Daphnia pulex: one gene and its partners. The protein of the gene in region 2 purifies or fractionates together with the protein of the main gene of each other region. This does not show direct contact. Links are inferred from orthologs where the notes say so. Each region holds a gene or a part of one and is shown on either strand. Other genes may lie near its edges. The genes, in order: ribosome biogenesis protein NSA2 homolog, GTP-binding protein 4-like and mRNA turnover protein 4 homolog.

Evidence for each region.
Region 1: the proteins of GTP-binding protein 4-like (region 2) and ribosome biogenesis protein NSA2 homolog purify together in Homo sapiens (affinity purification with mass spectrometry; 3 studies listed by BioGRID and IntAct, counting the BioPlex papers as one, with this or other methods). This does not show direct contact. The link is inferred for Daphnia pulex from reciprocal best matches to the Homo sapiens genes GTPBP4 and NSA2.
Region 3: the proteins of GTP-binding protein 4-like (region 2) and mRNA turnover protein 4 homolog purify together in Homo sapiens (affinity purification with mass spectrometry; 3 studies listed by BioGRID and IntAct, counting the BioPlex papers as one, with this or other methods). This does not show direct contact. The link is inferred for Daphnia pulex from reciprocal best matches to the Homo sapiens genes GTPBP4 and MRTO4.

The regions. Positions count from the first base shown.
Region 1 is NC_060018.1:12,627,391-12,630,725, reverse strand, and holds ribosome biogenesis protein NSA2 homolog, read right to left. Parts: upstream 1,879-3,335; 5' UTR 1,782-1,878; intron 1,459-1,781; 5' UTR 1,394-1,458; coding exon 611-1,393; 3' UTR 585-610; downstream 1-584. Other genes in the region: ATP synthase subunit s, mitochondrial-like, read left to right, coding at 2,317-2,402, 2,460-2,668, 2,722-3,029. UniProt on the Homo sapiens protein: Involved in the biogenesis of the 60S ribosomal subunit. May play a part in the quality control of pre-60S particles.
Region 2 is NC_060026.1:14,945,697-14,949,905, reverse strand, and holds GTP-binding protein 4-like, read left to right. Parts: upstream 1-1,258; 5' UTR 1,259-1,400; coding exon 1,401-1,451; intron 1,452-1,517; coding exon 1,518-3,368; 3' UTR 3,369-3,721; downstream 3,722-4,209. Other genes in the region: uncharacterized protein LOC124204378, read right to left, coding at 1-105, 198-477, 547-750; zinc finger protein 271-like, read right to left, coding at 4,151-4,209. UniProt on the Homo sapiens protein: Involved in the biogenesis of the 60S ribosomal subunit. Acts as a TP53 repressor, preventing TP53 stabilization and cell cycle arrest.
Region 3 is NC_060019.1:12,247,697-12,251,421, reverse strand, and holds mRNA turnover protein 4 homolog, read left to right. Parts: upstream 1-1,382; 5' UTR 1,383-1,515; coding exon 1,516-1,543; intron 1,544-1,603; coding exon 1,604-1,766; intron 1,767-1,827; coding exon 1,828-1,977; intron 1,978-2,062; coding exon 2,063-2,214; intron 2,215-2,299; coding exon 2,300-2,376; intron 2,377-2,715; coding exon 2,716-2,868; 3' UTR 2,869-3,072; downstream 3,073-3,725. UniProt on the Homo sapiens protein: Component of the ribosome assembly machinery. Nuclear paralog of the ribosomal protein P0, it binds pre-60S subunits at an early stage of assembly in the nucleolus, and is replaced by P0 in cytoplasmic pre-60S subunits and mature 80S ribosomes.

The DNA of each region.
Region 1 (3,335 bases), on a different chromosome or scaffold from region 2:
TTGGGAGTGGTGTAGTTCTTCTTCTTGCGCTTCTTGGCACCACCACGAAGGCGGAGCACCAAGTGCAAGGTGGATTCCTTCTGGATGTTGTAGTCGGACAAAGTGCGACCATCTTCCAGCTGCTTGCCAGCGAAGATCAACCTCTGCTGATCAGGAGGAATACCTGAAAGGAACGAGACAATGATGAGAAAAGTGCCAACTAGGTATTTCTGGGAATGATTAAATGCAGAAAATTCAGATAAATAAACGCTTATTATAATCAGTGTACATATTAAGTGTCCTAAGAACGTCAACTCATCAAAATAATTAGAAATGTAAATTGAAACTTTGGTGAGCTTTTATACCTTCCTTATCCTGGATTTTGGCTTTGACATTTTCGATAGTGTCAGAAGGCTCAACTTCGAGGGTAATGGTTTTACCCGTGAGGGTTTTAACGAAGATCTGCATCGTGGAGTTTTACAACATACAACTCGGCTGCAAAAGAAAAATAAACAAATTAAAACATTTTATATTTGAAAACATTTAAATCACACAAATTTAACTTAAAGACTAGTCTAAGATAACGTAGGCTAAAACGGCGAAGCTAAACGAAAATTCGTGTGTATTATGTTCAAACGAGCAAAATGGCGTTGATACATCCGTCGTTTTCAGGATTATTGGTCACTTGGGCATATTTGCCCCACACAACTTTGCCACCCTGAGTGACGAGACCGAGTTCAGAAACATTGACTTCAATGATGGTTCCCTTTGTTATGACACCCAGAGATGTGTACATTGGAGAGGAGGGATTCTTCTTGACGCCAACAATCGGGAGACAAAATGTAGCTTTCAATTCCGGATGTGTGACGTGAGCCTTCTTGAACCGCAATGCCATGGGTCGGACGAAACGCTCGTACTTGGGCGGCTTACGAGTGAAACCTTCTCCGACGAAGCAAACTTTGGTCACCAGCCTCTTCCAGCCCTTTCTGCGGCTCTTGCCCGTCTTCAAGACACGGAACACTTCAGCTTCTGACTGGGCACGAACTTTGGGTAGAGGAACATCCCATTTGCCAGCCTTCTCCTTGCGCTTCTGCTTCACCATAGAAGACAGCAGTTTGGCTTGTGATGTGTTCTCACGATCCAGGAGGTAAGCAGGCATGGCTCCTTCAGGCACCTTTCCATCTTCCTTCTTGCGAGTCTTCTTTTCTTCATGTGCCTTGATGGTCCTCTTGAGTTGCACCTTTTCAGAGTAGCGCTTCTTGGCAAAGATCTTGCCCTTGATACCAATCAGCTTCTGGGCCATCTTCGATTGCAGTTTGTGCTCCCTGGCCTTCTTCTTTCGCTGCCTTTCTTGATAATCCATGCGAAAGCCATAGCGCTTCTGGAACAACTCAATGTGCTCGTTCTGTGGCATGGTGGTGGTGGTTGGGGAGAACTCTGTGTGTGTGTGAACTAAAGCTGGTCAGACAACAGTTTACCCTGAAAATACAGGGGGTAAGACTTCAATTACATGAACTATGCATGTATAAGGGTGCGTTGTCTGACCATCTTTTAAGTACCAAGATGTAAATCTAGAAAAAACGCCTGTCTACTACTGAGCCTTAAAAAATGTCAAAATGGCGACAGACAACCACGTTGCTGCCGATGGCCGACAATCGCAAGTAACACATTTCCACTTATCAAATAACTAAAAATAACAACGCCCACGCTTACTCAACTTAGCATGATAGTAGTAAGACATTAAAAAGAGCAATTACTCAAGATTATCTAAATAATATATTAAAAAGCTCGAGAGAACTCACCTGCAATAGCACTCTCCCCACTAGCAGCTCGATACTTGAAAGGAAAGAACACTGAGAGCTTCAAGAAGAAGAAGCATAGCGGCAACGTTGCGACTTCCTAACGAATCGAAAATTCACGATTCACCATAATTAATAAAAAAATTATAGAAAACAACAATGTACTTTTAATAAAATTACAAAGTATGAAAATTAATTCATTATAGGGTTAAAAAATTCACGAACTCTTTGCAATTTATTTCAAAGTACGTGAAAAGCATTTTCTGTATTTGAGCGTTTTTGCCGCTAGGTGGCGTTTTATACCGGCAAAATTTGTAAACATTAAACAGCAAGAACGTAACATAAACGTTGAAGTAAATATTTAGGATATTTTCGGTTAATTACGAATTAGATTAAACAAATTGACAAGAACGACTTGATTTTCAGTTTACCCTGCCCGTTTTGTGTTCTTTTATTATTAATATCTAATTGTTAACCAAGTGACAGAGTTAATAAAAGAAAATAAAACAGCGTAACATTCTCTTCATTTATTGTAGAAATGGTGAAACTTTTGGCAGTGAGGAATCTGTTACAATCTCAGTCTAAGCGAACTATCTGGGGATGGTTAAACACAATCACCAACAAGTAATTTTAATTTCAGTTTACATAAATTTTTTTATTAAAATTAATCTGCTTCTACAGAGTGGATGAGTCGAGAATCAAGGATGTTGGACCAGACAGAGCTGCAGCAGAGTGGCTTCTTCGTTGTGGAGCAGGTGTGAGATGGAAGGACAAGGAATCTGTTCTCAAAGACTACAACAGCTTGCCTCCCGGGGGCTACCGAAGTTTGTTGATTGAAGAAATTGATGCCACAGGATCATGTATCATGTCAGTTGGATTTCCTCACTTGAGTATGAGATAAAGCACATAATCTTCCAATTCATGCTAACATATTTCTCTGCAGGAGGACTCGATCATCTGAAAAAACTGACCCTTCACAAATGCAACTACTTGGACAACGAAGCCCTGCCAATGCTGGCAGCAGTCAAAGGTTCACTTGAAGAACTTCAGTTGAGCAGTTGTGGTGACATTAGTGATTCAGCCATAAAATCACTGTCGTGTCTCTCCAACTTGCGTCACTTGCTCCTCTATGATTTGCCGGAAGTCACCAACAGAGAAGGCTGCATAGAGTTCCTGCATTCGGCTCTTCCAAAGTGTGACATCGAGTTCCCCTACGCCAGAGTCAGCGAACTCAAAACCGATAAAGAATAATATCGATTTTCAATAGTTTTATTAAGTGTTGATGTTTGTTGAACCGACTGTATTTGTTTCCGCTCAGAATGCGACGAGACTCGCGTAAATCACATAAATACATTAATAACAAATCAGGCTACGTATCGTGAATATAGTGAGTAGTACCCGCATGTTATTAGTTCTGTTTTATACGCTGATCGTTTTTGAAAAATTTCATTATATATTGTAGAAGGAGTTAAGAGTAATGGTTCAACTTGAGTAGCAGCTAAACACTCGCACACTAAATATCACTAAATTAAGATAGGCACAAAAAAAAATGGTGGG
Region 2 (4,209 bases):
TGTAGTTAATTGGGAGTCCAATTGTGTTAAAACTATAAGATCTCGTAGCGTGGAAATAGACGGGTGCTGATTTGACGCCGTTGTATCCGATCCATTTTTGGAAACCTTTTCCAAATAAAGTAAATCATAATAAAAAATATTAAAAAAATATTGATGATTACAACAAAACATACAGTACGCAGAATAATCAAAATTACCCGCATCGCTTGGGGGTTTAGTGAAATCGCAGTAAACGGATTCCATCGTTGTATTTCCCATAACGGAATAAAATCCGTTCCAGATGTGGCCCATGCTTTTGAGATCTGCACACGAAGATGGCAATCCATTGACAGCCACGGGTGATTGATTATTAATGTTGATCGAAACATCTGAATCTGCCTTCTTTTCTCTCAATAGGACGGATAAAACTTTGTCTTGTTCTTGAACTTTAGTTTTCAATTCGATAACTTGTAGAGCCAATTCGTCTCTACTTTCATTCTAGTGTAAATCAAATTGTATTTAATCTATTGGAGGAAAATAACAAGATGAATCTGTTTAGAAACTTACATTTCGTTCTAATTGGGTCCCCAGTTGCGTCACCTTTTCTTCAAGTTCTCTATTTTTAGACTCTAATAAATCGATTTTCGTTTCGAGTCTCGATTCTAATTCTTTCAATTTGTCTTCTAAGGAATAGGTGGCAGAAGCGGAAGAACAAATCGCGCCGCAACCTAAAATGAATATCAAACTGACACCGACTGAGAAACGAGACATTTTTTACACAAATTTTTAGACTGAGCTATTGCGTTGCACGATTGCGTCGTATTTTATAGGACTCGGTTTCTTATACCTTGTATAAACACTACATCGAGTTTACATTACATTATCTTATTTGAAAAACTCACCCGCTGATTAAAACTGACATTTTAAATTTTGGATCCTGGCTGTAAATTCTGTTGTGCAAATATTTGTTTTGTATTATATACAAGCACGATAAGGAGCGGGGATTCACATGCACTTAAATATCGTGGTTGAGCCCCATCGTGGTATATTTTGTTTCCCGCATAAAAGCTTTTTCTTTCGTTTCTAAATATTCGAGCTGAAATGAAGTAAACGGTAAATACATTTATCCTTATTTTTGTTTTTCTTAATCTTTGAATACATGAATAGTAAGTTTGATGCAAAAGAATAGTAAAAAATTTAAAAAACTCGATTCAAATTCTATGCAGATTATGTTGATAGATGCCGCTAGTGATGCAAAGAGTAAGAGAATAAAAGTCTACCACTAGATGTCCGATTTTCTTGTGTCTTCTTTCTTTTCGTTGCACGTGTGAGCAGTGGGCTGCGCCATTGCTGAATATTTCAGAGAATTTCTCTGAAAAACGTGTAATTTTCAATAGTGCGACACTCTTACCATCAACAAAATGACGTCGCAATACAATTTCAAAAAGATTGTCATCGTTCCGACGGCGAAGGTAAATTAAACGCAGATATTTCATTACTTGTTGGATGGGCCAGCTAACGTTTCGCTAACTTCACAGGATTTTATCGACATCGTCTTGTCGAAAACTCAACGAAAGACGCCAACTGTAGTCCACAAGCAGTACAAGATTTCTCGTATCCGTCAATTCTACATGCGCAAAGTCAAGTTTTCCCAGCAGACCTTTCATGACAAATTGTCCACCATTCTGACCGATTTCCCCAAGCTGGACGATATTCATCCCTTCTATGCTGATTTGATGAATGTTCTCTACGACAAGGATCATTACAAATTAGCTCTTGGTCAGATCAACATTGCCCTGCATTTGATTGACAATGTCTCCAAAGATTATGTCCGTCTTCTCAAGTACGGTGACTCCCTGTACCGCTGCAAGCAGCTCAAGAAGGCAGCCTTGGGTCGCATGGCCACCATCATGAAGAGGCAAGCGCAGAGTCTTCAATATCTGGAGCAGGTCAGGCAGCATCTCTCCCGTCTGCCTTCCATTGACCCAAATACCCGGACACTGCTTATCTGTGGATTCCCCAATGTCGGCAAATCCAGCTTCATCAACAAGATCACTAGGGCAGATGTTGAAGTCCAGCCTTACGCTTTCACGACCAAGTCGCTCTTTGTCGGGCATACTGATCATCGCTACCTGCGTTGGCAGGTGGTGGACACCCCAGGAATTTTGGATCACCCTCTTGAAGATCGTAACACCATTGAAATGCAGGCCATTGCTGCCTTGGCCCATCTGAGAGCTGCTATCCTCTACGTCATGGACATTTCAGAGCAATGTGGTCACACCATCGAACAGCAAGTGGCACTCTTTGAGAGCATCAAGCCTCTCTTTGCCAACAAGCCATTGCTCGTGGTGCTGAACAAGACAGATGTCATCCGTCTGGAGGAGCTGAATCCTGAACAAAAGGCCTTGATTCAAGGTTTCATTAATGACGACATCCCCGTTATGGAAATGTCGACATTCAGCGAAGAAGGAGTGATGAATGTCAAAACGGAAGCCTGCGAACGTTTGCTGTCCCACAGAATCGAGGTGAAGATCAAGAGCAAGAAGGTGGAAGGCATTCTCAACCGACTGCACGTGGCTCTGCCTAAACCTCGCGACGGATGCACACGTCCGGCCTTCGTGCCCGAGAAGGTGATTGAAAAACGTCTGGAGAAGGGACCCAAGATCAAGAAGAAGACGGAACGCGATCTCGAGGTTGAGCTGGAAGATGATTACTCGCTGGATTTGAAAAAGAATTACGACCTTCCGGCCGACTTCAAATACGACGTCATTCCTGAATTCTGGGAAGGCAAGAACATCGCCGACTACATCGACCCTGACATCATGGCCAAGCTGGAGGAGCTGGAGCGCGAGGAAGAGCTGCGGGTTGAATCCGGAGTCTACGAAAAGGAGGAAGAAGAGATGGACGATGAAGAGAAGGAGATCCACCGGTTAGCTGGCAAGATTCGCGAGAAGAAGGCCATCATCGCCATCGAGGGTCGCATCGGTCGCAGCGGAGGTGCCCCCGTGATGCCTCGCGCTGGACGCAAGCGCGAGCGTTCCGTCAGCCGTCTGCGCTCCGAGTTCGAGGAACTCGGCGTCGACATGAGCAACAAGAGTGGCGCTCACTTCTCTCGCACTAAATCGCGCTCGGCCAGCCGTCCGCCCATCAAGAAGGCCCGCGCCGATTCTGCCGGACGCGTCAGCTCGTCGTCTCGCGTCACTCCGCGCGACCAGTCGGGCATCCGCAACGTTGAGCTCAAGGCCAAGGCCAAGAAGATGGGTCACAAAGCTCAGGGCAAGATGAATCAATTCGGTAAGGCTGGTGAAGCCGATCGACACATTGCAGTCAAGATGCCCAGACATCTTTACTCCGGCAAGCGCGGCATTGGTAAAACCGATCGCCGTTAAAAGACAGAGAAATTGTAAGAATTAAAAACAACATCCGAAACGATTACGAAGAAGAGGAATCCAACGAGACTGATGCCCCGGCTCCTGGAGTTTGTTGGAGAGGCCAAGGTTGAATATGACGTCTTATCACATCAAAAGTCCCTGATTGCCTGCTGAGTTCATCAATTCTCAAAAAAAGGTCCTGTGCTTTTTTGTTTTAAATGTGCCACTTCCAGCCCTCTCTCGGTTCATGTGTACTCTTTAATTGTTGTGTTTTTCTTTTCAGCGTGTTTTGTTTATTAATTCGACCGCTGTGGAAAATATTTCAATGAAAGAAAAATAGTACACCGTGTTGGCGTCAGTCTCGATAAAAAGTTTTGAATTTCAATAATTTATTGAGTATTTTACATAAGTTTTTTTTTAAATAACGAAAAGGAAAAACTTGGTGATCCGACGCGCTCTGGGGTCTTGTTTATTTGAAAATGGGCACCAAGCCAAAAAGATTGAAACTTTTGTAAACAACTTGTTGCCTTGGGTTAGAATCGCGCACTCTGTGACGCAAACAAAAGAGAGAGAGAGAGAGACCTGCGTAACCTTCCCTTACATTTTTGCACATATCGCCAAATAAGGGCCAAGTAAACAACAACAACAACATCAAAACAAGTCGAATGGGGTCTCTGACGCTTGGATTTTTTGTTTTGTTTTTGATTTAGTTGTTTGTTTGTCTCACAATTGGGGTGAAAGGCCGGAACTTTTTCTTTCAAGTTGTTGCAGCTTTCTTTTTTTAATCTTTTAAAGAAATTTTAACTGTAGACTTGCGGTTGAGTCGCTTGAGTGGCTACGCGTCGACGGCCCGGATGAG
Region 3 (3,725 bases), on a different chromosome or scaffold from region 2:
CTTCTTTACAAAAGAGAAAATGGCTGCACATAAAGACACACCAGTACAGACTTTTGAAGGAAAGGAATGTGGGATGGGTTGGTGCGAGCTGTCGCGTAGGGAGCAAAGATGGCGCCTCTCACTAGCTGCACTAGAGAACATTCTACTCTAGACGCCCTGTTCCTCACCGGCTACAGCTTCACGCTGCCCAACCGAATTTCCATTACATTTATTCGCAAAAAGAACAATCTCACGATTTCTCACTTTAATCCTTGCCGTCCTTGCTTACATTTACCATATTCAAGTTTCTCAAACTTACGTGAGTGGGTGCCGAAGTGTAGCGGAAAATGCCTCGCTGGCTGAGCTTTACCAACTGAGAACTGTCTTTGGCGAATGCAAGTCGTCCTTTCCTTCCCACTAGTTTAAATCGATATGCGATGTAATCGATTCTTTGTTAATCGAGTCTTTATTAATCGATATACGCGCGTCGGCAACACAATCGACGATCGAATTCTTGGATGAAGTCGCCAAGTATGAAAGACTGGACACTGAAATGCTGTCGGAGCTAGCGCCATCTGCGACAACAGGAAAACTTGCAAAGAATTCTCTTAAGATATTTTTAGACTCAAATTGCCCAAGATCTTACCACACAGCTACGGTGAAACAAGTTTCATAACTTTTAAATATTTATATTTGTACGGTACACTTTATACGAATTATACTTTCTATTCGATTAAATATCGGAATAAAGGGGGCGCTGACGGTTGAGTCTCTGAACAGTCTTTTTATCTCCAAAAGAACCTTACTCTGTGCCAGAATAGTAAATGGGAGGGAAAAAAATAGAATGTTCTCGAGCTTCAGTATGTCCCTGTGGCCAAATGAACATTTTCGAAATAAAAACATGGACAATTGATGAAAGATACTTGTTTCCAATGAAACTTTATAGTTTAGATCTAGAAAAACTACCCAATAGTCCCAAACGCTCAGCGATTGAGTGATAATTATTTTGGTTGCTATGTCTTTGCCAGGTCCTTGCTCGCTCATCACTCGTCGCATTGAAGAACAACAAACGAGTCATAAGAATACCGGTCTCAAATACTACTTTTACCTTTGAATAAAAGAAATAAACACATAGGGCTTCGAGCTCAGTTTCTTTGAAATTCAATAAATTTAGGCCTACAGCTGCAAAGATAATGATTAATGAATCATAGATTTCAGATAAGTAAAATGCTTGGAGCGAGAGTCACTTGAGTAATTTGAATGTTGACATGAATGTGAATGTATAATATTAAAATAATCCTACTGTTATCGTACTTAATGTTTCAAATGCAATTTACAGAATAATGTAAAATCTGGGAAAATAAGAAAATATCGTTAATTTTTATACATTTAAAAATAATCGGCAACTTTGTAGTTGTTTGCAGACGACTCACAGTCTCAAAGTCTTTCTTTAGGATAGTAAACGAAACACGTGGTTTTTCCAAACTTGAAGTCGAGACGCTATTTCCGCTAATTTAAACCTAAACAACATTTAAAATGCCTAAAACTAAGCGATTCCAAAAAAGTAAGTTTCTCTGTTTGTTTAACTTTTGTAAAAACTGAATTTAATGTTTTTATTTTTCAGTTTCATTGACACAAACTAAGAAGAAGGGTCTTGGTGGAAAACAGCAATTGGTTGAGGACATTAGATCTTGTGTTGAGAAATATTCTTACTTGTATCTCTTTTCAGTTCAAAATATGAGGAGTAACAAACTGAAATCTATTCGTAATGAGTGGAAAGACAGCAGGTAAACTTGGTTTTATGATGAATCATGAAATGTCAATTATAATTTGCTTGGTCGGATTCAGGTTCTTCCTCGGTAAAAACAGAGTGATTGCTATTGCATTAGGTAGAACTAAAGAGTCTGAAAGCAGAGAGAACCTTCATGAAGTCTCTAAAAGACTTAAAGGGCAGTGTGGAATTGTCTTCACAGATAAACCAAAATCTGAAGTCATCAGGTAACCATATTGTCATTGGATAGTTTAGTTTAATGTTTTCATACACACAAGGAATTAGAAATAAATTGTGGTTATATTCATGTAGATACTTCCAAAAGCATGTAGAATCAGATTATGCCAGGTCTGGTAATGTTGCTACCGAAACTGTCACACTCCAACCCGGTCCTTTAGAGCAGTTCCCTTTCAACATGGAGCCATACCTGAGACAACTAGGTCTCCCCACATCTCTTCAAAGAGGTATTTACACATCACAAATTTAAAATTAAAAAAAATTCCAGATTATCATCTAATGATGTGCATATCTCTTCTGTTTGTTGACAAGGTGTTGTGACATTGCTGAAAGAACACACAGTTTGCAAAGAGGGAAGCATTCTTACTCCTGAAGAAGCCAGACTTTTGGTAAATTATATTTATTTTCTCCTTTGTTTGTGAAAAGTCATGTCTAGAGTGCTTTATGTATAGTAATGCACCCGTCCGTTAATAGTTCTTAAAGACGAAGAGCGTGAGTTCATTAAATTTGATGTAATTTAGTAAGAAATTGTTTTAAGGACCACTCGGATAAATGGAGTAGGGAGAGTGGTCGTTTATTTAATAACCAACCTCGCGTGCGCTTCAAAGCTCTAACAGAAGCACAGCAGCTACATGCAGGGCATATTGCGTCATATAATTAAGATTTCGATTTTTTACGGCGAAGTACCTCATTTATGTTTCTTTTTTTTTTAAATTCTACTTTTAAAGAAACTGCTTTGCAAACACATGGCGGAATTCAGAGTGACCATTGAAGCCGTTTGGGAAAAAGAAGATGGCGCTTTCGAAGATATCGGAAACGGACGTATGTTGGAGAAAGAAGATGACGCAAACGAATCTGCCGACGATGAGAATATGGAATGAATTTTCCCATAACATTTTTTTTTTCTGAATGATAAACTGTATTGGTGTATCAACGAGGGACATAGTCGTTATACAAGTGACTAATGTTTACCTATGGTCATCCCTATGTACATCGTCTTGTCCTTGAATAAGAAAAAGAAACAAGATGCTCTTACATTTCAGACGAATGAAATGTACACGACAAAATTACACGGTTTCATTTCAGTCACTTGTCAATGTTAAGAAACGAAGCTAACGATATTAATTCATATATATATATATGTGTGTGTGTTTATGTAAAGATTGGGTACTGTTGAATAACGGGCAATCGTATTTTGACAGATAATTGAAACATGTAACCCGAAAATATTTACATTTCGATACTCGATTCGAAGGATAAAGAGAACAGGTAAACAGTTGAGGGACACAAGTTACACAATTTTCGCCGTGAGTTGTATAGGAGTCTCCAGTCGAGGGGAGGTCACACACAATCTGGGCGGCCCATTCCAGATCACGGGATCAGAGGGGTGGGATTCTCACAATATTTTTTTTTCTTTCTTTCCATTTTTTTTTATCACGTTCCCTCCTCCACCAAGGAAAAATATACAAACGAAAAAGCAGTGCTATAAACCAGTCCCTTAGTTCCCCACCATCTGCGCGGCTATAGCTACAAACATAAGAGATACACACACGCGAGAGAAAATACAGTGAAAAAAAAAATTATACGTGACGAAAAAACTCCTCATCGATAACTATATGTGTGTGTGGGTTGAAACAACGACATTATAATGTATAAACTTTGGTATGAAAAAGGTGACAACCCCCTTAAATAAGGACAAAAAAAAAGTATGGGCTGGTGGGGACCTCTAGAAAACAAA